Neodiprion lecontei: one gene and its partners. The protein of the gene in region 3 binds, or shares a complex with, the protein of the main gene of each other region. Links are inferred from orthologs where the notes say so. Each region holds a gene or a part of one and is shown on either strand. Other genes may lie near its edges.

Region 1 (10,720 bases), on a different chromosome or scaffold from region 3:
TCTAGGTAAGGCCCTGTATGGCTCCACATTGGAGATCTGCATTGCCTTCAAAACGTTGCGCGTGTTGCCTACAATACGGCGTTGCGGAAGAAGGTATAGTTCATGCTGGGTAATTAGCATTCACGGTTTGATGGTTTTGCAGCCTCTGGTTTTATGGGTTGCAGCAGTGCTATCTTTACATTATATTGGTTATGCATTTATCTATGGTTTTACAGTCTTCTATACTCCAGGCTATATAGTAAAGCGTATGTTGCTTATAGTATAGCTCTCAGCTCCGAATGCCTAAATGGCATTGTTGAGTGCTATATAATAGTTGGGTATAATTGTGTTAGTTAATTATAGTGTTAATATGATAGTGATATATAATAACGCATAATAGTATTATAGTTCTCTGTAGTACGAAGATCTCGTAACATGGTTTTTAAGCCTCGGCTAGTGAATTTCATAGTTATTTCCATCTAGGGATATTCCAAATAGTTAGACAGTTGTTTTAATTTCTTATGGTTACAAGATTCTCGTACTTCGAGTTTGGTTAGTTGATAAAAGTAACATGCAGTAATAATAATCGATAAAACATACGGACGTTCCGGTCGGACGTTACACCTTGTTCAAAATAATACCTGTGGTTGGCGATATTTGGCAATTTTTCCGCATGTCAGTAAACATCTTGGAGCACATAACACTGGTGGTAGCCAAAGAGAATTCTACCACGCGTGCACAGAAAGTGTGGCGGAGTGAGAGAGGAGTAGATATACTCATTACAACCTGTCTCTCTTGCCCTACATCTGGTTGGCCGACACGCTTCTTCTCAGCCAATCATATGCAGAGAGAGAGGGACAGGCTGTAACGAGTATATCTTCTCTCTCTTATCATTTTGGCTGCAGTTTTTGCGAGGCTGACGGCACGGGTGGCTACCTCCAGTAGTATATGCTCTAAGGTAAACAGAGATTTGTTCACGGGGATTGGAGAAATAGTAGTAAAATAAGGTGCAACGTGTACGGGTTGTCAAAATCGAACTTGAAAGTAGAACGAAAGTGCAGTAAACGATTCAAAGATGATGAACGGGGACGGCGACAAATCGTCGGATTCCCAATTTATATCTTTTCAAGATTACTCACCAATAAATCGTTCCGCTGGTGGTGGACAGGCTCAGCTGGATGTTGATACACCCGACAATCAGGGCTTCGTCGGAATCCAGAATGACAGTACGGGAATCGGAATGATCGAGGACCTACAAGGAATGCCGAACAAAAATGACCGTCTGTATTCACAGTTTTTCTTTTATTTTCTTTGCTGCAAAACTAGGTTAACCTACTTTAAAATTTTTCTTGTCTCGAGAGAATAAACACAATTTCCAATTCCGCAGAAGAACTGCAGCACAATTTCTGGAGCATCGAATACTACCAGAAATTCTTCAATGTCGACACTGACGACGTTGTGCAAAGGATAATCAGGTCCATAATACCGCGAGGGGGCGAGAATTATCTCGAATCCCACATCCGGCCAAAGCCTGATCTTTACGGCCCGTTCTGGGTCTGTGTCACATTGATATTTGCCATAGCGATTAGTGGGAATATGGCTAATTACCTTCAGACAGCAAATTCGCAGGGATTTCACTGGCGGTACGATTTCCATATAGTTTCTTATGCCGCTACCGCCATTTTTATGTACGCCTGGCTGTTACCCCTTGCACTTTGGGGCGCTCTGAAATGGTCTACCAGCAAGCGAGAAGATGACAACGAATTAATCGAGGTGAATTTCAGAAAAGTGAAATCATTCGCAAAACAATTGAACATCAACTCACTTCTTGAAAACTAACATTTTCCTTTGCTGTAGTCGAATACTGCTCCTGGGATCCTGGAACTCCTGTGCCTCTATGGATACTCCCTGAGCATTTACATACCCGTCGCCTTTCTATGGACTATACAGATTGGTTGGCTACAATGGACACTTGTCGCAATTGCTGCATTCATGTCTGGTGGAGTGTTGTTGCGCTCTTTGTCACGAGTTATAGCTGGTAAAAGATAAGCTATGGATTACATTAAGAACAATATTTGAGAAATGAATTACTGTTCTGTGCTGTAGTCAATCGTAGATGTGGAATTTTAAAGTTTATTTTGTTCGTTTTCAGGTAAGCACAAAGCTATTTATGCCATAGCAATCCTAGGAATGCATTTCTTACTTGCTGCTGGTTTCAAGATGTACTTTTTCCACAATCCACGATCTACTCCTAGTGCCAGCCAAATTATCGAAGTTGTAACAACAGTTGCGTCAGTTGTTAAAGCAGTGAATAACAGTTCGTCACCAACTTAGACTAGCTTTAAACTATACTTAATTCAATTGTCAATTACACACAAGATTGTATGATAAACGTCTCATTGAGTACATCGATGAAGCTAATTTCAAAAAAAAAAAAAAAAAATTGATTGCCCTTATATTACATATTAATACCATGTCAAGTAATTATTCGCTGTTCAATTTAAATAAGTGGTATTGATAAATAAATCAGCTACTAATATTGTATATGTATATTCCTGATTAGTTGTATATATATGATAGTAATATATAAACGTGTTTGGACAAAAAATCGAATGTCAGTAGTTGGGTGGTTAAAAGAAAGTTATTTTTTCCCGCTCGTACCTGCTCAAATGTTAGTTTATGATATAAAAAAACCCTCCCAAAAGATGAGATACCGAAGTCAAATCTCAACAGGTCGCTATATTAATTTTTATTTCCCATTTACTTAACATGGGAAAATTACACTCTTCGTTAAAAGTTATAATACTCGTAAACTATTCGATATTTTTTAAATTCATGTATAGATCGTTGCAGCTGATTTTACGAGCTTTTCAAACCGCTATAACATATCATAGTCATCATCATTAGAATTCACATTACAGTCATCTGAAAACTACCAATTTTTACCGCAAAGAGAATCACCTTCAAGATTCTATCTATGCATGGATTTCAAAAATATTGAATAGTTTACGAATATTTTAATTTTTAACGAAAAGTGAAATTTTCTCATGTTGAATGAAAGGGAAATTAAAATTAAAGTAGTGACCTGTTAGACTGAGCTCAAGAGCTAATCTTTCGAGATCTTTTTTTCTATCAAACACCAACATTAGAAGGGGGTAAAAGCGAATAAAATTTTATTTTTTTCAACCACCCTAGTGAGTAGTCGTCTTGTTATCCTCTTCTGATAACTTCTCATATTTATTTATTTATTTATTTATTTATTTATGTTAACGCAACTGCAAGCGAATTCTTTATATCTATAGGTAGTTTGACGCTACCCTAAAACCTCGAACTATTGTTAATGAACAAAGATACCATTTGTATTACAAATGAAACATATTTTTTATTACATCATATTCACATGAAAAGCCTTTTTTTAACGCCATGGGTATTCAACATTTTGTATTTGTCATTCAACAAAATACATTGTCCAATCAAGCCTGCGCTAGCGTCTCACTGTTCCCGTCAGCCGATTTGTACAATATGATAAGCATAATATGCAACCTTGTCATCCACAAAAAGTGGGATTTTTAAACATAGTTCAAAAGAATTTCATAACGCTGGTTTATTAACACGTCCGAGTAATACTTTAAAACGTTACGAGAGAAAACCGTTATTTACAATCATTTAAAACTACGGTTTTCATAGAATCGATTCGCGAGTGATTACACGATAAACAATATTTAGCAATGCAACGGTGATACACTAAAAAAAATGAAAAAAAAAAAGTTAGAACCAGTTAATAATAAAAATTGGGGGATATATCTAGTATCGAGAGTTTCTGACAAGCATAGAATAGCATGACCTAAATTAATATATGTTTCCATTGCTGCTAAGTATAAAGCTCAAAATTGAATTGCAATAAAGATTTTGTGGCGAACAAGTAGAGTATCTATACCTTTGATCTGTAACAAGAATTAAATGTCTTAACGAGTAGAAAATTTGATTTTCTTCTTACAGCTGTTATAAATGTCATTAGACATATTAAAATTTTAGGCTCAAGCTTCCATCTGATTGAAATGCAGTCACGACAGGAAGGGTACGACTAAATCTTCTTTATGTTCCACCTGTATCTCGCTCAACGCGGTTACCGCACTGTTCATCATATCTGTAACCTGTGAAAATATTTAGATAAGCAATGAAATCATAGAAATTTCACTACTTCATCATTTCTATTTCATATTAGTGGAAGTTATTATTTACCATTTCTCGATCCTGTTGGGGCAGCCCTTCCCCAGCCAATACTCTTTCGGGCGCTGGTATATCTTTTAATAGACATGGCGGATGGTCAGGTATTTGAACACCGATAACTTCTATTCTTTTGGCATATGCTTTTGACCTATCCATGTATTCGTGCTGTTCCAAATTGTGCGAGTCGAGAGCACCGACATCGATCACATTGCTGATAAAGGAGATGAAAATTAGAGGTGGCAAAATCGAGCCGAATTTTTTATTGAATGTAACTTTGTCAAATGATTCTTATAACATTTGTCTGTTATTTTTACTGCTTCAAACAAGTTACAGAGAATTAAATTAACGGTCAGCAAAGTATTTACAAAATAGGTATAATTTAGAAAATTATTAAACCTCGAGTTGAAAAGTTGATGGAGAAGCCAATTCCGAGGCTCAATCTGTAGAAGCTAGGCTACCATGCTATGTTAGTATAAAACAGAACTTGAAATGCACAAAGAAAAACAGAAATCGTGAAATTCTAAAGCATTACTCAAAGGTATAGTAAGCTTGTCCTAGAGACAATTTAAATATAAACTTGGTACTAAGCCAACGTGCAGCAGCAGCATGCATTCGATGCAGAGAACTAAGAAGGTATAGCTCAAGTTTCGTAAACAGCAAAATAAATAGGATACAAATTCAAAAAAAAAATAAATAAAAAATACTCACGCGGCAGTTTCCTGCAAGATTCGGTTCAGTGCGCTTTGTTCATCAGTCTTCTTTGGGACAGGGTTCGCATATGGATTAACATAATCGTCACTGGAAAGTAATAAAATAAGAAGCAAAAAAGCATTTGATATTATATAAGTGACAGTCACTATAATAAAAAGAATGGAACACAAATACTTTTTACGCATGCTTTAAAGTCTGATCAATCACCTGTGAGCTGTTGGGATATTTGGTGTATTGCTGACCGGATTTACCAGCAAACGTGTTCTCTCGTTAGCTGCGTCACCCTGAAAATACAAGTCAGTCGAATTAAGATACAGGTTAGGAACTTAGAAGTAATTAGTCTACTCAGTCTTAATCTACTGTTGTGAGAGAAATGTTGGTGAAAGCATTTCAAGTCAATTAATGAGTTTCAATAAATGATAATTATTACAGCAGTATCAGTAGATCAAAGTTATCTGGGTAGGTTATCGCGAAATAAGGTAAATAAAAATACCACAGGGGGGCAGAAATAATGGTAAACTCGCCAGATATTGTAGTTAATAATAATGATGACATCGCACTTGGAAATCGTTCGTGTGTCCGTGGCTTTACTTGTTACTATAATTTTTATATTTTTCATCTCCTAGATGATGTGCGTCATTGTAGATATGCAAAAATGGAATGTTAAATGGTTATTTTTTCGCCGAACGAGAAGTGGCATCAAATTAACATTTCAGAGCTGTCAAAGTCGTTTATGTCAATGGAAAAATACAGCGTATAAATAAAAATACAATCGTGGCGACGAAATGCCTACACAAAATTTGTACCTTTACGATTGATGATGATCGAGACTAGTTTGATAAGTGTCTTTACTGAAACTCACGTATCAATTCTAAAGTAGTAGACGTGAGAATGATGAGCAAAGGAGAAGAAATAAACTCAAAATAAAAGGCAAGGATTAGTCCAAGTACTTTACATCTGACATACCTGCGGCCCATTGTCTTCTTTGCAAAGGCTTGGGCAACATCCCATAGTGACTGTTGTTTCAACCACTTTATGTAAATAATAAGTCTAAACTGTGTCAAGTATATTTTTTATGACTTCGTATAATTATATGAACAAATATTCTATCATTGTTGTGCAACAACACGTAACCAATTACGCATTTGTCAGTAACTTCAATGTTTTTATAATCGTTCAGATTGCCGACGTCGTCGTACCGATGACCAGTTTCGCCCCCACTAAAACCTGGTAATACAAAATAGTCTAGACCAGTACCTCGAAAAGTAATCTGTGATCGTTTGTGTTTGATAGGTTTCTCTCTGTAGTGAGTACCCGAGGTTTGGGCCGTGTTCGAAAATTGACTGACAGTACTGTCAGCAATCTTTCATCTCTTTTGCGCTTCCAAGTTCGTAAATAGCTCCGACTCTGTCCTAGGGAATTTTCAGTACCGTCAGTCAATTTACGAACACGGCCTTGATAGGGTATGTTCATATCAGTGGTATGTTCCGATATACACTGCGAGCACTGTTCAGTGCTCTTACTGGGGAGAAATTCTAGGAAATCCTAGGGAAATATATGACGTCATAAATCGTTGCCATTTTTCTACTGTGAACACTGGTGCTTTCGAGGTAAGGTGCTCTCAGTGCTTTGATCACGTGATCAACAGCGTTCAGAAATTTAACAGCTTCCACTATTGATAATTATTATTATTGAATATTGTCATTTAAAAATATCGGCCGTTAAAAACAAAAATGGAAAATTTGAATAAATTGTGTTTATTACAATGTGAAACAAATATTATGTATGAAATGAAAGTAACGCCAAAAAATGTTGATCACAGTATACTGTACTGCGTTCCGTTTTAAGCACGTTTTAAGCAGTAACCAGTATAGCTAACTATACAGGAACGGCTTCGCAGTATACTAAATTGACGACACACCTTACAGTGCTCGCAGTGTATATCGAAACATACCCATAGTTAATAATTACGTTGTTATTATTAGAACAACACCGGCTAGGGAGTTCAGTGACATTAACCCCTCACAGTTGTATTTTGGGATTTATTTGAATTTTGCTTGTGCAGAATCGTTTGTTCGTCGTATGTTGGTGTTTATTAGCGTTTCTCCAACATTCAATAGTCCTCCAATTACCTGAAAAAATTGAAAAACATAGCCCTCCCCTAAGCCAGTCAAAAAAAATAAAATAAATAAGACGACTCTAGTTAGGCACCAATTCCGGGAGTTTGTTCAATCCCAGAACGTCTAACTTACGACAACTCCTCGTTAACTGTAAATTGCATTGAAATGCAATTACCCATGCTGGCAATCGTTTGTTGATCGTTTGGTGGTGTTGGATAGTGAAGTTTCGACATCTGATAGTGGATCGTTGATTCGTGAAAATTGAAACAATTGTAGTTAGGCAGTAGTCCCAGACGTTAATCTAGCCCTAGCGCATATAACCAAAAGCTGCTTCTCATTTATATGTATGTACTGATGTTTATTGATCATTTTTAGATGTTTCATAGGGAACGTTGACTGAGGATATGTAAAGACTGATAACGAGTTATTTTTCGTAACAGTTTGCTGAGTTTGACCGGGTTTGGAGGTATAGTAGTTTCACGTATTATCAACCAAGCAACTAACAACGCACGTAAGAGAAGTTCTTGAAAACAAACAACTATCACGTGCAAAACGTTGATAACATACAGTCGTCATCGTGAGATTGAAAAGTTGAGAAAATCCCGTACAAGAAATATATACGCCGAAATTACATAACGGAAAAATAAATATCAATCAAATACATGTTCGTGTATTGTTTATATTTACATGAATATATCAAATCTTTTACAGGCGATATTAGCATTTCTAAGACGCTCAATTTATTTTTTCAAAGTTTTTTACGTAGTCAACTTTGAGCGGCAAATATTTTGAAAAAATGTTGAAATACTTTATTTTTAGTTCCAATCATTTCAAGAAAGTGCTTATGCAGACTTTTTGTTTGCTTTGTTGAGCACTTTTAAAATTATGACTTGAAAAAATTCGATATCTCAAGTTTTGAAAATATCCGAAAAATTCTGAAACACTTTTCTTTTTGCGAGAAGCACGTTGATGATATGTAGAAGGATGAACCTATTTTATAAATTTTTCCCAAAATTTGGAATCAGTCATTGGGTTTTAATTAAGAAAAATTACGCAAGTTCTTGGGAATAAATACAATAAGCATGAATAATGAAAATGAATCTATCACGAGGTTCGTTGCAATTTAACTGGAACGAAAAATAGAAGACTTTTGCATTTATTTTAAATTTTGATAAATTGTTAAAATTGTCTTTCAGTAATACGACTTTTTAAAAATGTGACGAAAAGCAGCTAAAAAATGTATTTTATCTTCTGTATAATATTGACGTACTTATCAAACCATACTTTTCTTCTTAAGGGCGTTGCCTAGCTAGAAAGCACGGGCTACTCCGCTTCCCGCGTTAACCGTGCGAGAGAGAGAGAGTAAAGAAACAAGTGAGACGGAGCACCCGAGCTGTCGCTGGAGTGGGGCGGGTGTGGGCGGGTGACGCGGCTAGCCTCCACCACCCCTCACGGGCATTCGGTTTCAAATACTTTTAAACAGCCCAGTGTGCCGCGCTCGGCACGACGCAGCACCTGATGAATAATAGAAAAAAAAATAGACTCCTTTCAGATTCCACTTGAAAAATTTACTAGTAATACAGAATTTAATAAGGAACCCGAAACTATTTTTCTTATAATTCAAAAACTTTTCATTAATGAGGTAAAAATCGTCAAACATTTGAATTGTTTATGAAAATTGGGATATTCAATAATGTTCAACATTACATTTTTTTTATGAAAGCTTATTCGTTCACCTTCCGAATGCACTGTAAATGATGTCTCCACGTTGAATAGAACCAGATATATGCGCGCTCCTTTTGCATCAAAATTGAATGATTGTCTGGTAACTTTCCAAAACAAACATAATTCGGACGAACACCAAAATGCGTATCGATTCTTTTTACCTTTATTTCATGTGAAAAAGAGTATGAATAGATTGAAAAAATACGAGGTCATTTTTTGATTGACGTGACGTAGAATTCCCCATACGTATGTTGATATAGATATACATTCTTAATATTTCAACGAAAATTATATTCACCGGCGTCCGTATTTCTACGCAATGCGATCACGTGATTGGTAATAGTCTAATAGCCGGTATTCATAGTCAGGTTCGATTTGCAGGACTGTCTTGAGTCAGCTCAAAGCATAGCTTGATCGGCTGAGAGCTGTTCCTAATACAGTTTCGAAAATAATACGTAACTATTTATGAATAGCGGCCATACGTCGTCACAGGTCGTTTCAAATTGAAAATTGCGACGAATGGCTGTTAGCAAATTCATGATATAACAACGAAAATATCATCAATCTCCTAGGTCGCACCACGTATAGATTGCTATCAAACAGAGACCCACCTAACCTGTCCCTACCTCCCAACCATGATCGGGTTTGCACCAAACAAATACAAAATGATAAAAAATAATATAAAATGATAAAAGTGAAATCAAACTCGTTTAAACTTAATAAACATAATCACGAAATCTGTATGAAAAGGATCTCATAGAAATTAAATTGAAACAGTATAAGTGAAACATGACAGTAATCTTGATCGAGAAAATTGATATCATAACAAGGCATCGAGCATTGTATACATTATATGGCTAAATAAATTCTATAGAAAGCGCAAACTATGGAAAGTAGTACGTCATTGTTGCAAAAATTAATTATTAGTTATCATCTATTTAAAGTAAAATGTACGCTTCCTTTTTTGTAGAGCATTCAATTTCCTACAAAAATCCGTCTTTAGATTTTTTTTACGACGCTTCGTTAGCTAGTTATAAAACCTAGAAGAAGCAAACAACATTTATCCTATGTTATTCTTATGGAAAATCGAAAAGTGCTATGCGCCACCCCTTAATATGTATTAATATTAAAATCTTAAATTTCAACTAGTGTCTTTGTATACCTGAATGAAACTTTTGAACCTGTTTCGAAAGGAAAAAAAAATTCATTTTTTTTTCTGAATCACCCTATACACGCAGTTCGGTCAGACTGCAGAAAGTATTCCTGGAATGAATAATCAGACATATAATTATAACGATATGACTAGCAAATTTTTGGCATAGTAATACATATAACTAACTGAACATAAATCAGAGAAGTATTACACGTAAGCTATAGGTATACAAAGCTATTGTATTTATGTACATATGTACGTATATTTATATTACAGTTTTTTGTCGTCTATCGGTCGTGAATTTACTGTTTCTTACGCGCGGCCTTCTGGGCTTCGATGATTTGAGGGGGGGTTCGCGGATTGAGAGTTGTCGGGGGCACGAAAAATTTGCTGTTTTATGCTTCGTGATTTTCGTTCTCATTTCCTCATTTTTGAAGATAATTAGGTTCTTAGGGAGTCAGTTTGGGAGCTTTCCAGCAACGACGCAGAACGACACAGTCGGACACAGCTGCGGAGCATGGCTGGACACTGTTTCGGATTCATTGCAGCCAGTTTTTTAGTTAGAGATTTTATTTTCGACGCATGGTATTGTTTATATTTATTTATTAAATGCAATGATAATCTACACGCGTTTCACAAATGTTTTTTTTTTCCTGGAGCGCTCAGTGTTCCTAGATTTTTCGTACAATGCATGAGCGGACTTTAGTGACTGAATTAAGAACCTCAAAGCGTTCCAACAAGTACCAAGGCACAGTGATCGACCGGGTAACACAGTGTCATACTGTGTCTCCTTGCTGGAAAG
Region 2 (10,395 bases), on a different chromosome or scaffold from region 3:
ATAACGCCCGGCTCGTCCAGCTATTTGCAGAGCAGAGGACACAGGTATCGTGTCAATTTCTTTTTCGCCCTTTTCATTGATAGTCGGCTTCATCAAAGAGTAGAATATTATCCTTCGTATACTCCTGCCAAATGAAATATGTGTAAAAAAACGCGAATGATTAAACATCGAAATTTTTTTCCACACATGCTATTTGAGTTCGCCTTTATCATTGGAAAAATTACGATTTAAAAAAAAAGAACGATACTAACAAATTCAAACCCATCCCGATAGCATCAGTAGCAATTAAAACTTTACATGGGTTATTGATGTCATTGAATTTTGCTGCTTGAGCTAGTTTTGTTCCTGGTGGAAGGCTTCCATATATAACTGCCACTTCAATACCACGAGATTCGATGCTACGAGACACAGAATATATTTCATTTTTACTAAAGCAAACTATACAGTCTCCTGCAACTACATTGTCCAGTGATTTCAGTGCAGACTCTTCGACTTCCAACGGAGTCAGACGTTTATATCTCCGTACCTCAACATCCTCTCCAGTTGTGATACATATGGAGCGGACCTAACATATAGCAATCATTAGTGATTCGGACAGCATATCTCACCCATGTAAATTTATGAATCGTTGGCCATCAAATTCATTGATTTTTCAACGAATTTTGAAATATATACTGACTAAGTCTATCGCAGCAGCTTCTCCGCAAAGGTGAATTTCATCGGCTGGCAGTCCTAGCAAAGCTCTAGTCCATGCCCAGCCTCTACCTGGATCTTTCATCAATTGGATTTCATCTATGACGGCAACCTCACCTAAAATAAATTAATTTTATTCCATTCGTTTCCTTTTTTTTTTTATACTTAAACGTAATATGTAATGAATAATTGAATCAAAGGATATAACCTTACATGCAGCGTTTGTGTTGGCCATTTCGACTGTGCAAGATATGTGATTTGAAGGGTTGTCTGCACCTTTCGCAAAATTTTTCTCTTCTCCGGTAATTAAGTCGCATGGGGTACCCTGGAAAAAGATGCAGGATAAACAGAGTATTGCGATAACGTTCAAAACAATGAAGAACATTTGCAAGATTTTCAAAAACAGTTCTAATGAATTACTGAATCCTCACGTTAGTGTTGCTTTTATTGAACACTTCTGCAGCCAACAACTTCAGCGGCCCACAATATAATCCACTTTTTGCAGTCATGAACCTCTGTAGCGCGTGGTAAGTTTTACCACTATTCGTTGGTCCAGCATGAAATATAATTTTTCTTGTCTTAGCTCTCGCTAACGGGTACCTGCAAAATGATAGTTATTTAATTTGCGCATATTTCTGGTTATAAATATGAAGCTCTATTCAAAATACAGAAGCAAATATTTCCACTGTTTTATTCATACCAGTTAGCAGGTGTGCGTAGATCGCTTATTTTCTTGAGATCATCCATACATTCAATATGGGGAAAAGTCTGTTTCGCATGACGCATAAAGTACGGAAATATGTCATCGACATGCCCGGCTCCTTGCATTATGTCGCTTATTACAACATGCAAGTCTGCCGGCAAGGTTTCAGCATCTAAGCAGTAGCGTCGAAAACTGATGAAGGTTTGATGTTGTAAGTAACCTGCAAGACGTTCATATTTGTGTGTGCAGTCTCCAAAATAATGCAGAAAAACTAAGAGCAATGAACCAAAAGTAGGGAGGAAACAACCAACAGAAGCATTTACATTGGCTTTTGTAGGACAATGTTTATTGAATGTAATTTACAGCGATAAAACGGGTGGAAACAAGCAGGGAAATCTACTCAACTTGAGAGGATCAATCTCAGAACTTCCAGCTACTCCCACTATCGATGAAGATAAAAATTTCAGACTACATGATTTATAATTTTGAAAATAACTTTAAAGGCTCAACTGATTTTAGTAAAAATCTAATCAGCTTTATATTAATAAAGCTAAACCCATGAAGCAAGTTTCATCTGCATCTAGACGTTTTTGAGATACCACAAGAATTAAGTTCAAATTCTAGTCAGTTCTGAGTCAAGCAAAACTGAATCAATTAAGGCCAAAATAATAAAATCTAATCTTTCAGTAATTGCCACCAAAAAACGATCATACACTCAAATCGAGATGTCCACCTGAAAGTGATCAGAGAAGATTCTCCAGGCCTTAAATAGTAGAAATATAGTGAAAACACAACTTTTCATTTTCAGGGTAATTATAAAAACTTTCCTTTTTCTATAAAAATACCAAAGCGGGAAGTTGAGAAAACTGAAATAACGAGTTGAAGCACCTTAAGTACTCACTGTCCAATCCGTGTTCCATGGCGAGCACCTTGATCTCTTTTCTTTGATAGAATTGATTGAGCACTTTCAGGAGGTCAGCTTTGTTGAGAGCCCCACTAAGTTCAACTCCCACGTTAATATCATCTGGGTTCGACTTGACGGGAACTGGTTTGAACAAAGATGTGATTGTAGTCGAGTCATCTTTTTTTCCCCGCAAAGGTTGTGCTAAATAAGCTCCAATTCTAAGATATCTGAAAAATAAAAAATAACGCGTAATGTATTAGAAATCAATTCATAAAATTATTACATTCAATAATTTTTATAAAACTTTACCTGTTGTTGATTAAACTCACCTCACACTTACACCTGTTACAATAAAATATTTGTAGGATATAGGAATACAAAATTGACCATAGGTTATAATAAGTGAATAAATATGAATAATGTGTGTCGATTACCTTATTACAATATAAAAGTATATAATAGAGATATTATACTCTACCTGTCTTGTAAAGTGGTGCACAGGATCCCACTTCTTCGAAGTAGGGATTCCGATATACGTCGGGTTGTCGGTATCATTTTTATATATTTATTAATTTCACAACATCCAAACCAGAGTGAAATCAGATTATCTTTAAATATCAAATAACGTTCATCGTGCAATAGGTTATGTTTCGGAAAGACCTGCGGATCAAAAAATTACAATCGAGCGTGCCGACTGCCGGTGCGCGCACTGAGTGAGATTCCACTGTTTTCAACCAATAGTTGAAACGAGATACTAGAAGAACCGTAATCAGTGCGCATCCGCAAGTGTAGCCAATGAAAAGCGCCATTACTCCGTGGCGCAACAGTAAGCATTTACAAAAGTTGAGAATGCCGTACAATTAGTTAATTTATTCTTAAATTATGACTCTTCCCTGGTTTATCTGAAACAAGTGATTGAATGAATTGTCCAATGCATTTCAATGCTTAATCGGTATTTGGTAACTCAATCTACTAACTGTGCGTCTAGAAACATTTTCGCGATAGTCTCGAGCCTAATTTTGGATTTATCCAAAGGTGTGCGTTGGGACTTTAGACAGTTTGAAATGAGTTGTGCGTTCCAAAGCTTTCTAAAACCCTTCTCAATGCGAGTTGCAAAACCTGCTGCCAACCAATGCTTGTCAACACTGAAAATTCCCAAGAACATCTTCCACCTTTTTTATTCATTGGGTTCATTGCGTTGCCTAATTTTCCGCTATTCACGAGAGTCCGATTTTGTATTCTTTCGTGTCAATTAAAATTTTTGCATTACTGATACACGTATAATTTCAATGGCAAAATTTATGCAAATCAGTTGGTTGCAAAAAGAGCAATTTATTACTAGTTATGTTATGATTGGAAAAGTTTAGTTTTCAGAAAACCAAATCTATGCAACATCTTTACCAACTTTTCAGTCAATGCCATTGGATCAAAGAACCATTCATTTACAGATAATTCACTCTATGTAAATGACGAGAAAACCAATCGTCATACTTACGAACAGCATAGATAAAATATACAGGAGCTTCAGGTTTATTGTTACATAGTTCATATAAGTATAGTTACTATAAATATTAAATACATTTTTACCACATATAATCTCCAGTCTCTATTTCGTTCATTTTTCTAGTCGCTGTCAGAATCTGCATTTCTCTTAGTAGAAACAATTGATGGAATACAGTTTCTGTCACTTATCATTCCATGCTCGATTAAAAAATGTTCAACATCAGAGGAATAAAAGTCAACTCCAAGGTGATCTGTGACACGAACAAAATTACCTATGACTTGTTTGTTTTTATAAACAAGCAGTGCTGGAACTCCCTCCTTTTTGAAGTGCCTACTTAAGCCTGCGGCGGAGCCTAAAAATAATTCAGCATTAGCAACTGCAATGTTCTTTTATAGAAGTTTGGAATTCTTTCACCATCTCACCTTGAATTTTGCAAAATTTAACGCTGGGATATTCGATGGCCAGTGAAAGTAAACAGCCATTCATAGTCTCACATCCTTCTATGTCAGGTTCATAAATATGAATAACGATGGTAACAGATTCATGTTCGTTGTCGATGGCCTCCAGAAATTGATCAGCAGTTACCAAGTTGAATAACCGGCCAAATCTTAATTTTTCAGCCCGAGTGAGCATTTCCATCATTTTTTGCTTCTGATAATTGAGTAAAAATTCGTCGTTCATCAAATCTGCCAACTCTGGATCGGTTTCCTCAAGATTATCTTTTTCCTCGTCAAGAGCACTCCTGCAAGTCAAACTCAACTTCTTCAGCAGCTCGATCCTCTCCTTCTCCTGTTCGACTTTCTTCTCTGCCTCTATTTGTTTAAACCGCTGCCAGTCGCCTAAGACCCCTTTCGGCCCTGTGTTGCTTGAAGTTCCGTCCCACTTTGCACACTCAGGCAGTTGCTCAGACCTTGACGCTGTCGCGTCGCACGGTTTCTGCGACTTTTGTTCATCTTCAGAATCCGCTGAGTCTTGCCCCTCGTCTTCACTTGAACTACTGCAGTAATATTGTAATTTTTCACCCAAAATTTTATCCTCAAGTGTTGCCATTCCGTTCTCTTTTGGGCTAGAGCTTTCTGTTGTACCTCTATTTAATACACGAAGAGCGGAATTATTAATATTATATTCAACGGAATAATAATTTTATCACCCAATCTCAGTCCATGAACATCAATGCTCTGCTCTTCATTCTCGCTGTTTTATCGAAAACCAATTATTTATTATAATTGTTGACTGCGTGAACGACGCTTTACACCAAGTTGACGCCATAGAGTAATTCTCTGAGGTTGATACGCCACACACTTTAGCTTACTGCGGGTGCGTATCAAAATCAGCTCCCGGCCCCGGTAGCAATCTTTTTATCTCTTTTGCACTTCTTGAGTATGACTGGCTCTGTCTCTGTTTTAGGCATGTTAAGCAATGCGCGCGCTTACAGTTCGCTTGTATAAGTTTGGTAACAAGGAGTGAATAACATGTCATATCACTTATAATACAGTATTTTTACGTACACCAAAGATAATTCTCTTTGACGTACACTACCTTTTAAATTCACAGCTAAATGCGGGTAGGACAAAAATAACTCGATCGGTAGGGTAGGATTGTAACCCTGTCAAACCATAAATAGAAATATATCGGCGCCCCGTGGCTGACGCGGCTGTGTGAAGTGTCAACTCTTAGTCACAGAACGGAGTATTCTTTGTTCAAATTCAATAAAAATTTGGAATGCAATAAAAATACTGAAAACTGAATACAGGTTCTGCATTCGAAAATGAACGTGGTGAGTTTGTTTTTTGAAGTTTATGCTGTAATCATATGTGACCGTTAGCTAGCGTTTCGAAGCCAAGTGAAAGTAACTATAATCGAGGTTATGTTTTTCAAAATAGAACTCACTCTTTATTGGAATTGCAATAGAAGTCAGCTCAAAAATTCGAAGCAATATAGACATGTATATTCGCGATCTGTATTTTTCTAGCATACACAAATCAATTTGTGATTCAGTTTCAGGAATTGAAGAAATTTTTATATCAGCTATTGAACAGCGTTGATGGCTTACACAGTATTTTGATCACGGATCGTGATGGTGTTCCTGTCATATCAGTGTCAGATGAAAAAGCCCCAGAATTAGCAATGCGGGCAAGCTTCCTTTCTACATTCGGAATGGCCACTGATCAAGGGAGCAAATTAGATCTAGGAAAGAATAAAACCATTATTAGCATATACAGCAGTTATCAAGTAAGTTATGAACCATTGATAATAAGAGCACCGTAATTCTGGAAGGCTGTTTGGAGTTCAGTTATTCCACTTTTACATGCAACCTTTTCTGAAGAGTACATTGTTTAAACATATAATGATATGAAACTAGTTCTATATGGCATATTATTTTTCAAATTTGACAAGATTTTAAGGTCGAATTTTCGGTACGCTTCATTTTTTGAAATCTCATATTACCTATTACAAGGCTTGTTGATGATTTAGTTTGATCTTTTCATCTCAATTTGTTCTTAAATTATTAATTTTTTTAATGTAACGTCAAATTTTCCTAATTAAAATTCATTTTTTCATTTGGTGAGAAATTTATATTACGATGTTTTAGTCGTTTGAATGAAAGTTATAAAAACAATTTCTTCCACATTCATAAGAAAAAAATCTTTTCCGTATGAACACGTATTCCTATAGTAGCGTCCGATTGATTACAAACTTGATGAAATCAATCTTTCTTTCACCTGACAAGAAATTGATTTTTAAAAAAGTCTCTTCTGAATAGATAGTAGAAATACAACAATTCATCGACCCATAATCATAATTGGCTTTATGCGAAAAAGTAGAACGGAACTATAAGGAAAATGGTACAACGAAATTATGAGATATAATTATGAAATATTTTATCAATGAATCCATCACTCAAGAGGAAAAAAGATATGTTTTACCTTTTTTAAACATCTCATTTAGTTTTTAAATTTCATTCATTTGCAAAATTTAGATGGAAAATGTTTCAAAAATTCTATATTAGAAAACAAATTGAGAATGCAGCTTCAAAAAAATCATCAGCACTTCTGTCAAGAGGTAAAACTGAATTTATAAAAAATTTTGAAACTAAAAAATTATCAAAACCTTATCAGATTTGAAAAATAATGCTCCATACACATTAAAGGGAACTAGCATTTATTGTATTTCAACTATATTATATAATTATAAAATTAATTAATTATTGTGCAAATTTCTTGTAAATTTTTACCTCTAGTTACAATTATTTACCATGTTGTCAGAAACAGTTATAAGTGTGTAAATACATGGATTTATGTGTGATCAATGATATGTTCAACAGGTTGTTCAAATGAATAAGCTACCATTGGTCGTAAGCTTTATTGCAAACAACATTTGTGATACCGGGCACATCTTGTCACTAGAGAGTAAAATTGATCCAATTTTACAAAATCTTAAAAACGTTGTTGCCGAAGCCTGATGGACACCTGTGATGCACTAATAAACTAATTGAAGAAATCGTGGAATTAAAACGTCACGACGACTGTGTAATTGAATGTGTAAAACACATTGAACCAAATTTTAGCAAAACAAAGGTTAAATATTACGATTTAAATCGTTGTAAATTAATTCTATAAATCTTATATAATTATGTAATATACATACAAAACAAAAAATGATATATACTGTATATGTATTATTGGAGAATTGAATTGATTATTTCGTGAACACGTGTCATACGCACACTTTATATTTTCGTATTCCTAAATAACTTCGCATTCATAAAATAAAAATAGACATTGATCACGGAGTCACATCTGTATGAATTAACGTGAGATATAACACACCTACAAACAAGTTACTGGAATGTCAATGTGCTTATATCCTGGGTAAAAAAATTCCCAGACTTGACACCTTCATATGAAATATACTATAAAACATAATAATTGCTAGGTATATATTCTTGAATATGACGTAAAGTGGAAATACGAATCTTGAAGACATGTATAAAAAATTAAAGCCCCGTAAAATTTCAGTTGCTTTGAAAATATTTGATACATATATCAGGCAACAGGTTACACAGTTGGTGCAAACTTTATTGAAAGCCTGTTTGCCACTATAATTCATAGACGAGTGGTTTTCCTTCCAAGCCGTTGATCACGTTCTGCGCCGCTGTTGTAGCCATGTCTGAGCGGGTTTTCACCGTTGCACTGCCCAAATGCGGGATTATAACTAAAAAGTTCAATAAAACGTAAGTGGGCTTCGGGTGATTAATTTGTTTCTGCATTTGTTTTTCTTCATCTTGTATTCCCAAAGACATTGATAAAAAAATAACAGGCAAATCATAATTAGCAAAGGTTTGAATTGTCCTGATAATGTTTGAGGAAATTCAAGAAATTCTAGAGTTTTAAAAAAAAATTTCTAAATTCTTTACGCGGAATTTCATTTTCTACCAAAACTCAAATATAAAACTCCGATTTTTTTACTTTCTCGTTGTGCATGATCAACTCGACTGATTTTTAAGAGGTGAAAATCGGACCAATTTCTATGGATAACTCATGTTTTCTCAGAACTCCACTATGTGTCACAATCCTGAAAAAAATCGTATCTCTGGCGTATCGCGTTATGCAAAAAACAGACGAATTTTTGAGAGAAATTAAAAATGAAACAGTTGAAAAGGATTTTAAAATAGATTGAACTGTCTAAATTTTTCAAAAATATTAAATCATCAATGTTTTTCTATACGATATTTGCAAAAAATTATTTCTTTTCCTAGAAATTACTAGGTCCGGTTTAGGATTTTTAGAAACAAGTAAGGATCTGTTAGAAATTAACCATTCTGGGTAAATTCGTACAAATATGTGAAACCTTCTGGACATATTTTATTGCCAGGAGAGGTCCCGACGTAAAAAATCGCTCAAATACTGACCTGCGTTCGGCAGGCTTAAAAGTGGATGGTCACTGGGGAGTGGCTCTGGATTCATAACATCCAATCCAGCAGCAAAAATTGTATGATTTCGAAGTGCTTTGACGAGGGCATCTGTATTGACGACAGGTCCGCGTCCTACGTTCACCAGTATCGCCGTATTTTTCATCTGGGCAAAAGTGTTGTCATTGAACATATTCGTAGTTTCATTGTTCAACGGCGTGGCAACTATCACGAAATCACTTTCCTTGAGGAGATCAGCAAACGATACAAACGTAGCTCCAAGATCGTCACCTGCAATTATATGAAACGTTGCATGTGTATTTCGATCCGAACGTTTATTCATATCATAGGTAATATTCATTAATAATTTATTTACCGGCTTGTTTTCTCGAGTGGCCCGAATAAATGAATCGGCCCACTTCGAATGGCTTCAGTCGCTTCACAATTGCTTGTCCAATGTTACCCAAGCCTACTATACCTACAGTTGAACCGCGTAAATCACGGCCCAACATCCATTGCGGCCGTGACTCCCACTTGTTTCTGAAAAAATTAACCAATATTAAAATATTTCGTTCTAGTACCTTGAAAATGAAAGATAAACAATAGTAATAATATAATTATGATACACCCAATGAATTAGAATTTTCTTGCAGCTTATACTAACAATGCATCATCTGCAATTCCTACCACCCTTTCGCATTGAATTAGCATAATTATAAGAATCAGCCCCTCTTAAAGTTAAATTAACTTCACAAGATCTCAGATATTTTAGGGTGGTCTTAAGAAAGGTCATTTTTGAATTTCGATTGTTCGACTGTTCCATCCCCTAAATCGGATGCAAATAATTCAAAAATAATTCTCTCATTTTTTCAGCTTCTTATCTCAACTCCAACCCGTGCCGCCGGAAGGTTGATTTCTTCGATTAACCCTTTTCAAGGGAACAGTAAATCTGCCAAATGGATTTCGATGAAATTTGATGTAGGGGGGTTCCTCGGGTCGCTGATTACGAATTTTAACTCGAAATTTCAAATGTCGAAATAGGCAAATCAACATGGCGGACAAACATCCCAAAAGAAAAATGATATTGCCATATTGGATCCGCCATTTTAAATTTGGAAATTTCGAGTTTAGATTCGTAATCAACGACCCAAGAGGAACGTGTTATATCAAATTTTATCGAAATCTGTTTGGCAGATTTATTGTTCCCTTGAAAAGGATTAAATCGGAAAATCAACCGTTTTTGCGGCACGGATTAGAGTTCAGATGAAAATCTGTAAATGTTAGGGAATTATTTGGTCCGATTTGGGGGACGAGGCATTACAAATTCAAAATGTCCTTTTTAAGGACCACCCTAAGGTGCATACCTATGTAAGTAATTGTATTTGCAGCTATGCATATTTTAAAAATTCTTTGTTATGAAATACATAAGCTAAAATTGTAATATAACAAAACGTTGAATTATTTACTCGATGATTTTGATACGGCCCTCGTAAGCTCGCCTGGCCGCGCTCAACGTCAACATTACAGCGACCTCAGCAACAGCAGCAGTTAGAACATGGGGAGTGTTACCTACTTTTAAACCCCGCCGTTTTATTTCAGGCACGTCCAAATGATCGTATCCAGCAGATGCTGTTGACACCACTTTCAACCTTGGTCCTGAAGAAAATGAAAACCTGAGT
Region 3 (10,177 bases):
GCTAACCCCTTTGTGTTTTTGGCGAAAATTTTCGCGATTTTGAAGAGTGCTGGAATCAATTAATTGTAGCACTGACCGGACGCAATTTTGCGGGAGAAGTCGATTGGACGCAGTCCCAATACGCTGCGATCAACGCATCAAAAGTTACAGCCAAAAAACAAGGACCTGTGTTTTCGACATTTTTCAGCAGGCGCTTTTTCGCTCGCCACTTCTCTCCTGTTGGTCCAACGCTCTTTTCGCTGCGATTTCTGAGTTCCTGAAGGTCCGATTGGTCAGATAAGGGTCATATAAATCGAATCTGAGACCGAAAGTTTTTTGCCCAAAAAAAAAGTAAGGCTAACCCCTTTGTATTTTTGGCGAAAATTTTCGCGATTTCGAAGAGTGCTGGAATCAAATAATTGTAGCACTGATCGGACGTAATTTTGCGGGAGAAATCGATTGGACGCAGTCCCAATACGCTGCGATCAAAGCATCAAAAGTTACAGCCAAAAAACAAGGACCTGTGTTTTCGACATTTTTCAGCAGGCGCTTTTTCGCTCGCCATTTCTCTCCTGTTGGTCCAACGCTCTTTTCGCTGCGATTTCTGAGTTCCTGAAGGTCCGATTGGTCAGATAAGGGTCATATAAATCGAATCTGAGACCGAAAGTTTTTTGCCCAAAAAAAAAGTAAGGCTAACCCCTTTGTGTTTTTGGCGAAAATTTTCGCGATTTTGAAGAGTGCTGGAATCAATTAATTGTAGCGCTGACCGGACGCAATTTTGCGAGAGAAATCGATTGGACGCAGTCCCAATACGCTGCGATCAACGCATCAAAAGTTACAGCCAAAAAACAAGGACCTGTGTTTTCGACATTTTTCAGCAGGCGCTTTTTCGCTCGCCATTTCTCTCCTGTTGGTCCAACGCTCTTTTCGCTGCGATTTCTGAGTTCCTGAAGGTCCGATTGGTCAGATAAGGGTCATATAAATCGAATCTGAGACCGAAAGTTTTTTGCCCAAAAAAAAAGTAAGGCTAACCCCTTTGTGTTTTTGGCGAAAATTTTCGCGATATTGAAGAGTGCTGGAATCAATTAATTGTAGCACTGACCGGACGCAATTTTGCGAGAGAAATCGATTGGACGCAGTCCCAATACGCTGCGATCAACGCATCAAAAGTTACAGCCAAAAAACCGGAACCTGAATTTTCGACATTTTCCAGCAGGTGCTTTTTCGCTTGCCATTTCTCTCCTGTTGGTCCTACGCTCTCTTCGCTGCGATTTCTGAGTTCCTGAGGGTCCGATTGGTCAGATAAGGGTCATTTGAATCGAATCCGAGACCGAAAGTTTTTTGCCCAAAAAAAAAGTAAGGCTAACCCCTTTGTGTTTTTGGCGAAAATTTTCGCGATTTTGAAGAGTGCTGGAATCAATTAATTGTAGCACTGATCGGACGTAAGTTTGCGGGAAAAATCGATTGGACGCAGTCCCAATACGCTGCGATCGACGCATCAAAAGTTACAGCCAAAAAACCGGAACCTGAATTTTCGACATTTTCCAGCAGGTGCTTTTTCGCTTGCCATTTCTCTCCTGTTGGTCCTACGCTCTCTTCGCTGCGATTTCTGAGTTCCTGAGGGTCCGATTGGTCAGATAAGGGTCATTTAAATCGAATCCGAGACCGAAAGTTTTTTGCCCAAAAAAAAAGTAAGGCTAACCCCTTTGTGTTTTTGGCGAAAATTTTCGCGATTTTGAAGAGTGCTGGAATCAATTAATTGTAGCACTGATCGGACGTAATTTTGCGGGAGAAATCGATTGGACGCAGTCCCAATACGCTGCGATCGACGCATCAAAAGTTACAGCCAAAAAACGAGGACCTGTGTTTTCGACGTTTTTCAGCAGGCGCTTTTTCGCTCGCCATTTATCTCCTGTTGGTCCTACGCTCTTTTCGCTGCGATTTCTGAGTTCCTGAGGGTCCAATTGGTCGGATAAGGGTCATTTAAATCGAATCTGAGACCAAAAGTTTTTTGCCCAAAAAAAAAGTAAGGCTAACCCCTTTGTGTTTTTGGCGAAAATTTTCGCGATTTTGAAGAGTGCTGGAATCAATTAATTGTAGCACTGACCGGACGCAATTTTGCGAGAGAAATCGATTGGACGCAGTCCCAATACGCTGCGATCAACGCATCAAAAGTTACAGCCAAAAAACCGGAACCTGAATTTTCGACATTTTCCAGCAGGTGCTTTTTCGCTTGCCATTTCTCTCCTGTTGGTCCTACGCTCTCTTCGCTGCGATTTCTGAGTTCCTGAGGGTCCGATTGGTCAGATAAGGGTCATTTAAATCGAATCCGAGACCGAAAGTTTTTTGCCCAAAAAAAAAGTAAGGCTAACCCCTTTGTGTTTTTGGCGAAAATTTTCGCGATTTTGAAGAGTGCTGGAATCAATTAATTGTAGCACTGATCGGACGTAATTTTGCGGGAGAAATCGATTGGACGCAGTCCCAATACGCTGCGATCGACGCATCAAAAGTTACAGCCAAAAAACCGGAACCTGAATTTTCGACATTATCCAGCAGGTGCTTTTTCGCTCGACATTTCTCTCCTGTTGGTCCTACGCTCTCTTCGCTGCGATTTCTGAGTTCCTGAGGGTCCAATTGGTCGGATAAGTGTCATTTAAATTGAATCTGAGACCAAAAGTTTTTTGCCCAAAAAAAAAGTAAGGCTAACCCCTTTGTGTTTTGGCGGAAATTTTCGCGATTTTGAAGAGTGCTGGAATCAAACAATTGTAGCACTGATCGGACGTAATTTTGCGAGAGAAATCGACTGGACGCAGTCCCAATACGCTGCGATCAACGCATCAAAAGTTACAGCCAAAAAACAAGGACCTGTGTTTTCGACATTTTTCAGCAGGCGCTTTTTCGCTCGCCATTTCTCTCCTGTTGGTCCAACGCTCTTTTCGCTGCGATTCCTGAGTTCCTGAAGGTCCGATTGGTCAGATAAGGGTCATATAAATCGAATCTGAGACCGAAAGTTTTTTGCCCAAAAAAAAAGTAAGGCTAACCCCTTTGTGTTTTTGGCGAAAATTTTCGCGATTTTGAAGAGTGCTGGAATCAATTAATTGTAGCACTGACCGGACGCAATTTTGCGAGAGAAATCGATTGGACGCAGTCCCAATACGCTGCGATCAACGCATCAAAAGTTACAGCCAAAAAACAAGGACCTGTGTTTTCGACATTTTTCAGCAGGCGCTTTTTCGCTCGCCATTTCTCTCCTGTTGGTCCAACGCTCTTTTCGCTGCGATTTCTGAGTTCCTGAAGGTCCGATTGGTCAGATAAGGGTCATATAAATCGAATCTGAGACCGAAAGTTTTTTGCCCAAAAAAAAAGTAAGGCTAACCCCTTTGTGTTTTTGGCGAAAATTTTCGCGATTTTGAAGAGTGCTGGAATCAATTAATTGTAGCACTGACCGGACGCAATTTTGCGAGAGAAATCGATTGGACGCAGTCCCAATACGCTGCGATCAACGCATCAAAAGTTACAGCCAAAAAACCGGAACCTGAATTTTCGACATTTTCCAGCAGGTGCTTTGTCGCTTGCCATTTCTCTTCTGTTTGTCCTACGCTCTCTTCGCTGCGATTTCTGAGTTCCTGAGGGTCCGATTGGTCAGATAAGGGTCATTTAAATCGAATCCGAGACCGAAAGTTTTTTGCCCAAAAAAAAAGTAAGGCTAACCTCTTTGTGTTTTTGGCGAAAATTTTTGCGATTTTGAAAGTGCTGGAACTAATTCTTTGGCGCACTCTATCGACGTGATTTTGCGAGAGAAATCGATTGGGCGCAGTTCCAATACACTGCGATCAACGCATCAAAAGTTACAGCCAAAAAACGAGGACCTGTGTTTTCGACGTTTTTCAGCAGGCGCTTTTTCGCTCGCCATTTATCTCCTGTTGGTCCTACGCTCTTTTCGCTGCGATTTCTGAGTTCCTGAGGGTCCAATTGGTCGGATAAGGGTCATTTAAATCGAATCTGAGACCAAAAGTTTTTTGCCCAAAAAAAAAGTAAGGCTAACCCCTTTGTGTTTTTGGCGAAAATTTTCGCGATTTTGAAGAGTGCTGGAATCAATTAATTGTAGCACTGACCGGACGCAATTTTGCGAGAGAAATCGATTGGACGCAGTCCCAATACGCTGCGATCAACGCATCAAAAGTTACAGCCAAAAAACCGGAACCTGAATTTTCGACATTTTCCAGCAGGTGCTTTTTCGCTCGACATTTCTCTCCTGTTGGTCCTACGCTCTCTTCGCTGCGATTTCTGAGTTCCTGAGGGTCCGATTGGTCAGATAAGGGTCATTTAAATCGAATCTGAGACCGAAAGTTTTTTGCCCAAAAAAAAAGTAAGGCTAACCCCTTTGTGTTTTTGGCGAAAATTTTCGCGATTTTGAAAAGTGCTGGAATCAATTAATTGTAGCACTGATCGGACGTAATTTTGCGAGAGAAATCGATTGGACGCAGTCCCAATACGCTGCGATCAACGCATCAAAAGTTACAGCCAAAAAACCCGAACCTGAATTTTCGACATTTTCCAGCAGGTGCTTTTTCGCTTGCCATTTCTCTTCTGTTTGTCCTACGCTCTCTTCGCTGCGATTTCTGAGTTCCTGAGGGTCCGATTGGTCAGATAAGGGTCATTTAAATCGAATCCGAGACCGAAAGTTTTTTGCCCAAAAAAAAAGTAAGGCTAACCCCTTTGTGTTTTTGGCGAAAATTTTTGCGATTTTGAAAGTGCTGGAACTAATTCTTTGGCGCACTCTATCGACGTGATTTTGCGAGAGAAATCGATTGGGCGCAGTTCCAATACACTGCGATCAACGCATCAAAAGTTACAGCCAAAAAACGAGGACCTGTGTTTTCGACGTTTTTCAGCAGGCGCTTTTTCGCTCGCCATTTATCTCCTGTTGGTCCTACGCTCTTTTCGCTGCGATTTCTGAGTTCCTGAGGGTCCAATTGGTCGGATAAGGGTCATTTAAATCGAATCTGAGACCAAAAGTTTTCTGCTCAAAAAAAAGCAAGGCTCACCCCTTTCCATCTTTGGCGAAAATTTTTGCGATTTTGAAAAGTGCTGGAACCAATTCTTTGGCGCACTGTATCGACGTGATTTTGCGAGAGAAACCGATTGGGCGCAGTTCCAATACACTGCGATCAACGCATCAAAAGCTACAGCCAAAAATCGAGAACCCGTGTTTTCGACGTTTTTCAGCAGGTGCATTTTCCCTCGCCTTTTCTTCCACATTTCACCGACTCAATCCCAAGCTTCCATATAGACACTACTTTGGCTGCTAGGAATGTCGGTATGAGCCCGTTAGATAGAGTCGATAGAGCAGAACCCTCCTACGCTCTCATGCCCACTGGGCCCACTAGCCCGCCAAAAGCTGATCACAAAAATTTACCCAGGGTCATTTAATTTACCCGTCTTAATATTTTTCAGTCAAGAGTAGGGACTTCTCCACAATTTCAAATACCATAACATCTGATTTGACTTTAACGTTACAATTGGTATTTCCGGTCAGGCTGTCAGACAAGAGGGGACATTTGACAAATTAATAAATATATAATTTCAGTGTTTTCAGTGAACGACCAATATACAATATATCAATTTAAGTATGCATCAAGATCAAAAGTAAAAAAATAAACAATCAAAGAGTTCGTACAACAGCGGGTCGTCGTGAAGAAGGAAGAACTATGAGTGCGTTCACGTGAAAGAAAAATAACCACACTGGTTAATAACCAGTTGTTTTATGCCAGTCACTGTAAATCTATTCGTAGTTTTGTTTCGATTATAGCAGTTTATTGCTTATAATTTCACACACTACTTACGAACCGCGATTTTGTTGGAGCCTCAGAATGGAACGTAACTTAGAGAAAACTATGGATAACGTGTAAGTTATCGAAATAAGACAAAATTCATAGATTTCACGTTACGACGCGCCTATTTCAAACAATTTAAAATACGCTAATTTTCTCATGAATTTTTTTTCCACGCAATTGATTGACTGCTTTGGAAATTCATAACAATGCCCACGTAATTTTATTGTTGCTTAGAAAGTATGAACCAATTTTCTTGAAGGCTTCATACTCAGACTTGATAAATAATGTTAAATAGTAGCCGCATTCATAACCTTCACTAACATCAATTCTGACACAACTCATTTTTCTCCTTTGATGAAGAACTGAAAAGGGTAAAATATACCAGAATTGACGTAGGTACAAATTCTGAATGTTATTTAATAATGACATATTTACAGGACGAATGTCGAAGGAGTCATAGGATGCATTTTGGCCGATCGTCAAGGCCTCTGCTTAGGAGGTAACCTATAACTAATTAATAATCAATGTTTACTATTTTTGATTCTATGTTTGCATGAATTTCCAAATGTCATACTTGTCAAAGCTCAAAAGATATGTATTTAATTTTCAGCTAAGGGGAGTGCATCTGGGCAAAGCGCTGGGTTGATAGCAGCCATTGCTGATGAGGTAGCAAAATTAGAGCCTGAATCAAACGCACCCATTATTGCTTTAGAAAGTGACAATCGGTATGTATGTGCACATTTCAACTTGCTTATACTAAGGAAATATGTAATTAAATCTGAAGTAATATGTGTTCTCATTTGTTTACTTCGGTTCAATGCCCATCATTTTATTGGAGCTCATTCTTTATTCACAATGATTATTTTATGCAAATTTGAGAATAACTCCAAGTCAGAATTGCTGTGCAACTTGAATTCTTCAATAACGATTTCAGGCAATGCATAATCCAGCGTCAGGGGCCTATAGTTGGTGCTATCTACAAAGCTATATCACCCTGAAATCTGAAATCGACGTTGAGACTTAACAATGGATTTGTACATGAATTAAAATTGATTCTTTATGTTTAACAATATCTACTTGAAATACGGCTCAATAATGAGTGTTCGTTCTACGTTTGCTGTAATACTATATTTTGTTCAGATTAAAGATTATATTCTTTGTTTATAATAGACAAAATCTTATCTTCTAAAATTCCATCAATCATCACTTGCACAGTTCCATGACTATATACACTCGTAAAATCATGTCCAAAATGAGAGTAATGAAATACATAATCCAATTTAGTTGGGTGCATTTCAAGTCAAGATTTGATCATTCCTAACATTACTTCTTCTCAATTGTACAAGGTGATACTAGTTTAGTTATTCTTTTGAATTTAAGTCTGCCCTTGGAATTTTTTTATTTCTAACATTAGACTTGATTCTCTGAAAATGGAACTATTTTCTTCAAGCTTAACTCGAGTTTTGTTTTTCACCAGAAAACCTGATTAAGCCAGGTGCGTATCAAATTTGCTTTGTCACTTGTTTCTTTGCTTTAGGCTCTCACACTAAAACTCTGCAAGTATACGCGTTTTCACACTGCCACGAGAGAATAACCTTCTATTAAAATTGTTTTGTTGTCTGAATTACAATTATTAATAAATAATAAGGAATTCTTAAGAGTATAATTGCACACTTTTAAGCGTCCGATTTTTGTGAAATTAAGTTTGAGATAAAAGTGAGAAAAAAAATTCAAATGGCTTTGAATGTAAAATATTGTGTCCGGAAATAATGTCACATTAATGAACCAAGTCATGAGGACAGTTGTCATTTTTACTATTAACATATTGTCTTGTGTAACTATATTATAAATAATCTTTATACAGTCATATTACAAACAATAAATAAGGACTCATTGGTCAATCATCTTTTTTATGTTTGTTTCGCCTATCGCGCCATTTGTTTACACCGAGTTGAACCAGGTCTTGATGTTCATAAACCCAGGAAGCCATCACCAGTCCAAACATTACGATACCGATGAACAGATGGATTAATTTTTCGCTCGGAAAAAAGTATGCCTAAAAAGAATGGAAAATATAAATTTAGTTTTGCCGTGTTTATTTCTCTACCATTTCGCAGCAGTAGAAACTTTTGATGATTTCAAGATTTTATCAAGTATTAATACTGTTATTCTTACCTGTGACACTTTTGTAATAACAGCTGCTAGTATTAAAGATGCAAGGAATATTGGTTTAGGTACGAGTCCTAATAATGGTCTATATTTGGTATTTTCGTGTCTTCTTTTTATAAATTTGGTTGAATGCAAAATTCTCAAAGCCATGTTAACGCAGTTTCCAAAAATGAAACCAACGGGCCCAAACCAAGATGCAAAAAAATATGACACTACTAGGAATGCTACAGACTCATATATCATAATATAATTATTCCGGTCAATGGTTTTACTGTCTGCTGTCGCATTTGTATAACATTCTGTAACTCCATTTATTCCTAACAGTAATACTGCAAGACAATGCGATCTCAGTAATAAAACTGGTAAATAGGCTGTCAACTTTGGCCCTCCATATAACCAGAGTAAAAGTGAGGAATAAGATTGGCCAAAAACTAGAACAATCAATCCAATTGATGTTACAACTGAGCATAGCTGTGTTAAAACATTAACACTCTCTTGCACCTTCACCTGCAATTCAAAGATAAGGATTATCAGAAATTCTGACTTGGTACTGAGCAAACAAAGAAGTGAGTAACTAATTAGTTTTACTTGCCACGTTTTGATCAGGTATCGATTTATCCCTTTTGACCATCTGTGTGAAATAGAAGTAACCGCTATCCTCTATTGGACGGAATATAAATCTTGCTGCTAAGGAACCCAGATTGTTAACAATTTCATACGTGCCCTTTGGTAAAAGAAAATTATTTTATTCATCAAGTACAATTTATTGATGAATTGTTAAACTACGAATAGTGATTCATTTTATATTTTCAATTAAATGAATCAATGTTGCGTAATTAATGGACAAACCCTTCGAGGTAATGAATTTCTGGTCCAATAAACATCTGTCAACAATAGATTTTTTTTCTTCAAATACCTGTTCAGCAAATGTCAAAACGGGCATTATGGTCATGATCAATCTTTCCCCTTCAGTTAAAATTTGTTTCAATACTCCTTGTCGAAAAAAACTCCACGTAAGGATGGATAGTTTTTTGTCCAACAACGACCCCTAAAAAGTTATAAATTACATAAGACCAGTTACTTAAATAATTGAGTTTTCCTCGTAATTATATTGATGACAATCTTACCGAATTAACCAATTGACCTGGTAAAAAGTCTTTTATTGATGTAAACGGGAATTCCATGCTCACAGACTCATCAACATCATCTCTTAAAGATGGTCTTTCTTGAACCTTGAATTCTTCTATCTTGGTAATGTAAAAATGGAAATAAGCATAGTGGCTGGTAGTGTAAAAAATGGCTGCAACAAGCTGTGCCACTCCAAAGGCGAATAATGCATTCTCTGGTTGGTAAAGTATCAGTATGACAAAGGTAAACGTCCGAATGATTATCATAATTGTATCTAAGACTACCTGTAATCACATAAATTAAATAAGTATATTCTGACCAAAAAATCTCTTCAACAATTTATGTAAATGATTCTTGTTTACAGGCAAAGCCCACCCTAATAAATGAATAATAATGAAAAGTTCAGGTGCAGGGCTTTCAAATTGTGCAAGTACATAAAAAATATATAAGAAAAGCTTAGAGTCCTTAGTCGAAAAACTTACTTTAAGCCTCACAAAGAGAAAAGCACTGGCAACTAATTGAACAATCAACGAGGATAGTTCAATAATGCAGGAAACAGCGACTGCGCAAACTGCGAATGTATAGTAAGGCGGTAATACTTCTGACGGCAATAATATGAACAACCATGTATATCCAAAGATCAGGGACATGAGCGCACATATTGGAACCCTGGAAATAAATTGTTGAGAATTATTCTCACATTGAATAGCCATTAGTTCTCATGTATAAAGAAAGCTGTTATTCACACTATTGGAGTAAGAGGTGAAATTAAAGCAACTATTGTGTTTTCAATATGATTGCGTTATTAAAATCTGAAATTATTAATTGACGATTAGGGAACTAACGTCACCCATAGCAAATTAACCACTTGTGCCCAGTTGTGTTCAGCCGTGTTCGTCAGACACGCTTTCATAAACGGTTCACGAGAGAGGAAAAGGATCATAGATTCCAATAAGAGCAGCCTCACATTCATTACTCCAAGCACTGCTTGGCCTACATGCCGTACTACAAACGCATTTAGAACAAATGTTACGCAGCGGAATAGTATCTGAAAAAATGTAATT

Evidence for each region.
Region 1: ragulator complex protein LAMTOR5 homolog (region 3) and ragulator complex protein LAMTOR1 share a complex: the UniProt entries of both Homo sapiens proteins name them as parts of the ragulator complex. The link is inferred for Neodiprion lecontei from reciprocal best matches to the Homo sapiens genes LAMTOR5 and LAMTOR1.
Region 2: ragulator complex protein LAMTOR5 homolog (region 3) and ragulator complex protein LAMTOR3-A share a complex: the UniProt entries of both Homo sapiens proteins name them as parts of the ragulator complex. The link is inferred for Neodiprion lecontei from reciprocal best matches to the Homo sapiens genes LAMTOR5 and LAMTOR3.

What each region holds. Positions count from the first base shown.
Region 1 is NC_060263.1:15,850,959-15,861,678, reverse strand, and holds ragulator complex protein LAMTOR1, read right to left. Parts: upstream 6,113-10,720; 5' UTR 5,932-6,112; coding exon of another isoform or gene 5,927-5,931; coding exon 5,876-5,926; intron 5,205-5,875; coding exon 5,128-5,204; intron 5,008-5,127; coding exon 4,918-5,007; intron 4,421-4,917; coding exon 4,222-4,420; intron 4,134-4,221; coding exon 4,044-4,133; 3' UTR 3,342-4,043; downstream 1-3,341. Other genes in the region: protein YIPF1, read left to right, coding at 1,055-1,259, 1,367-1,752, 1,837-2,017, 2,132-2,313. UniProt on the Homo sapiens protein: Key component of the Ragulator complex, a multiprotein complex involved in amino acid sensing and activation of mTORC1, a signaling complex promoting cell growth in response to growth factors, energy levels, and amino acids.
Region 2 is NC_060261.1:12,077,584-12,087,978, reverse strand, and holds ragulator complex protein LAMTOR3-A, read left to right. Parts: upstream 1-5,277; 5' UTR 5,278-5,572; coding exon 5,573-5,581; intron 5,582-5,802; coding exon 5,803-6,036; intron 6,037-7,129; coding exon 7,130-7,267; 3' UTR 7,268-7,670; downstream 7,671-10,395. Other genes in the region: ATP-dependent RNA helicase SUV3 homolog, mitochondrial, read right to left, coding at 1-124, 252-565, 680-810, 907-1,018, 1,125-1,293, 1,394-1,616, 2,298-2,527, 2,610-2,642 and 1 more; phosducin-like protein, read right to left, coding at 3,924-4,156, 4,227-4,854; glyoxylate reductase/hydroxypyruvate reductase, read right to left, coding at 7,904-8,019, 8,717-9,007, 9,093-9,256, 10,183-10,372. UniProt on the Homo sapiens protein: As part of the Ragulator complex it is involved in amino acid sensing and activation of mTORC1, a signaling complex promoting cell growth in response to growth factors, energy levels, and amino acids.
Region 3 is NC_060260.1:24,484,146-24,494,322, reverse strand, and holds ragulator complex protein LAMTOR5 homolog, read left to right. Parts: upstream 1-5,507; 5' UTR 5,508-5,852; coding exon 5,853-5,887; intron 5,888-6,253; coding exon 6,254-6,315; intron 6,316-6,426; coding exon 6,427-6,541; intron 6,542-6,750; coding exon 6,751-6,814; 3' UTR 6,815-7,713; downstream 7,714-10,177. Other genes in the region: protein RFT1 homolog, read right to left, coding at 7,714-7,872, 7,992-8,492, 8,578-8,709, 8,902-9,033, 9,113-9,397, 9,596-9,782, 9,959-10,161. UniProt on the Homo sapiens protein: As part of the Ragulator complex it is involved in amino acid sensing and activation of mTORC1, a signaling complex promoting cell growth in response to growth factors, energy levels, and amino acids.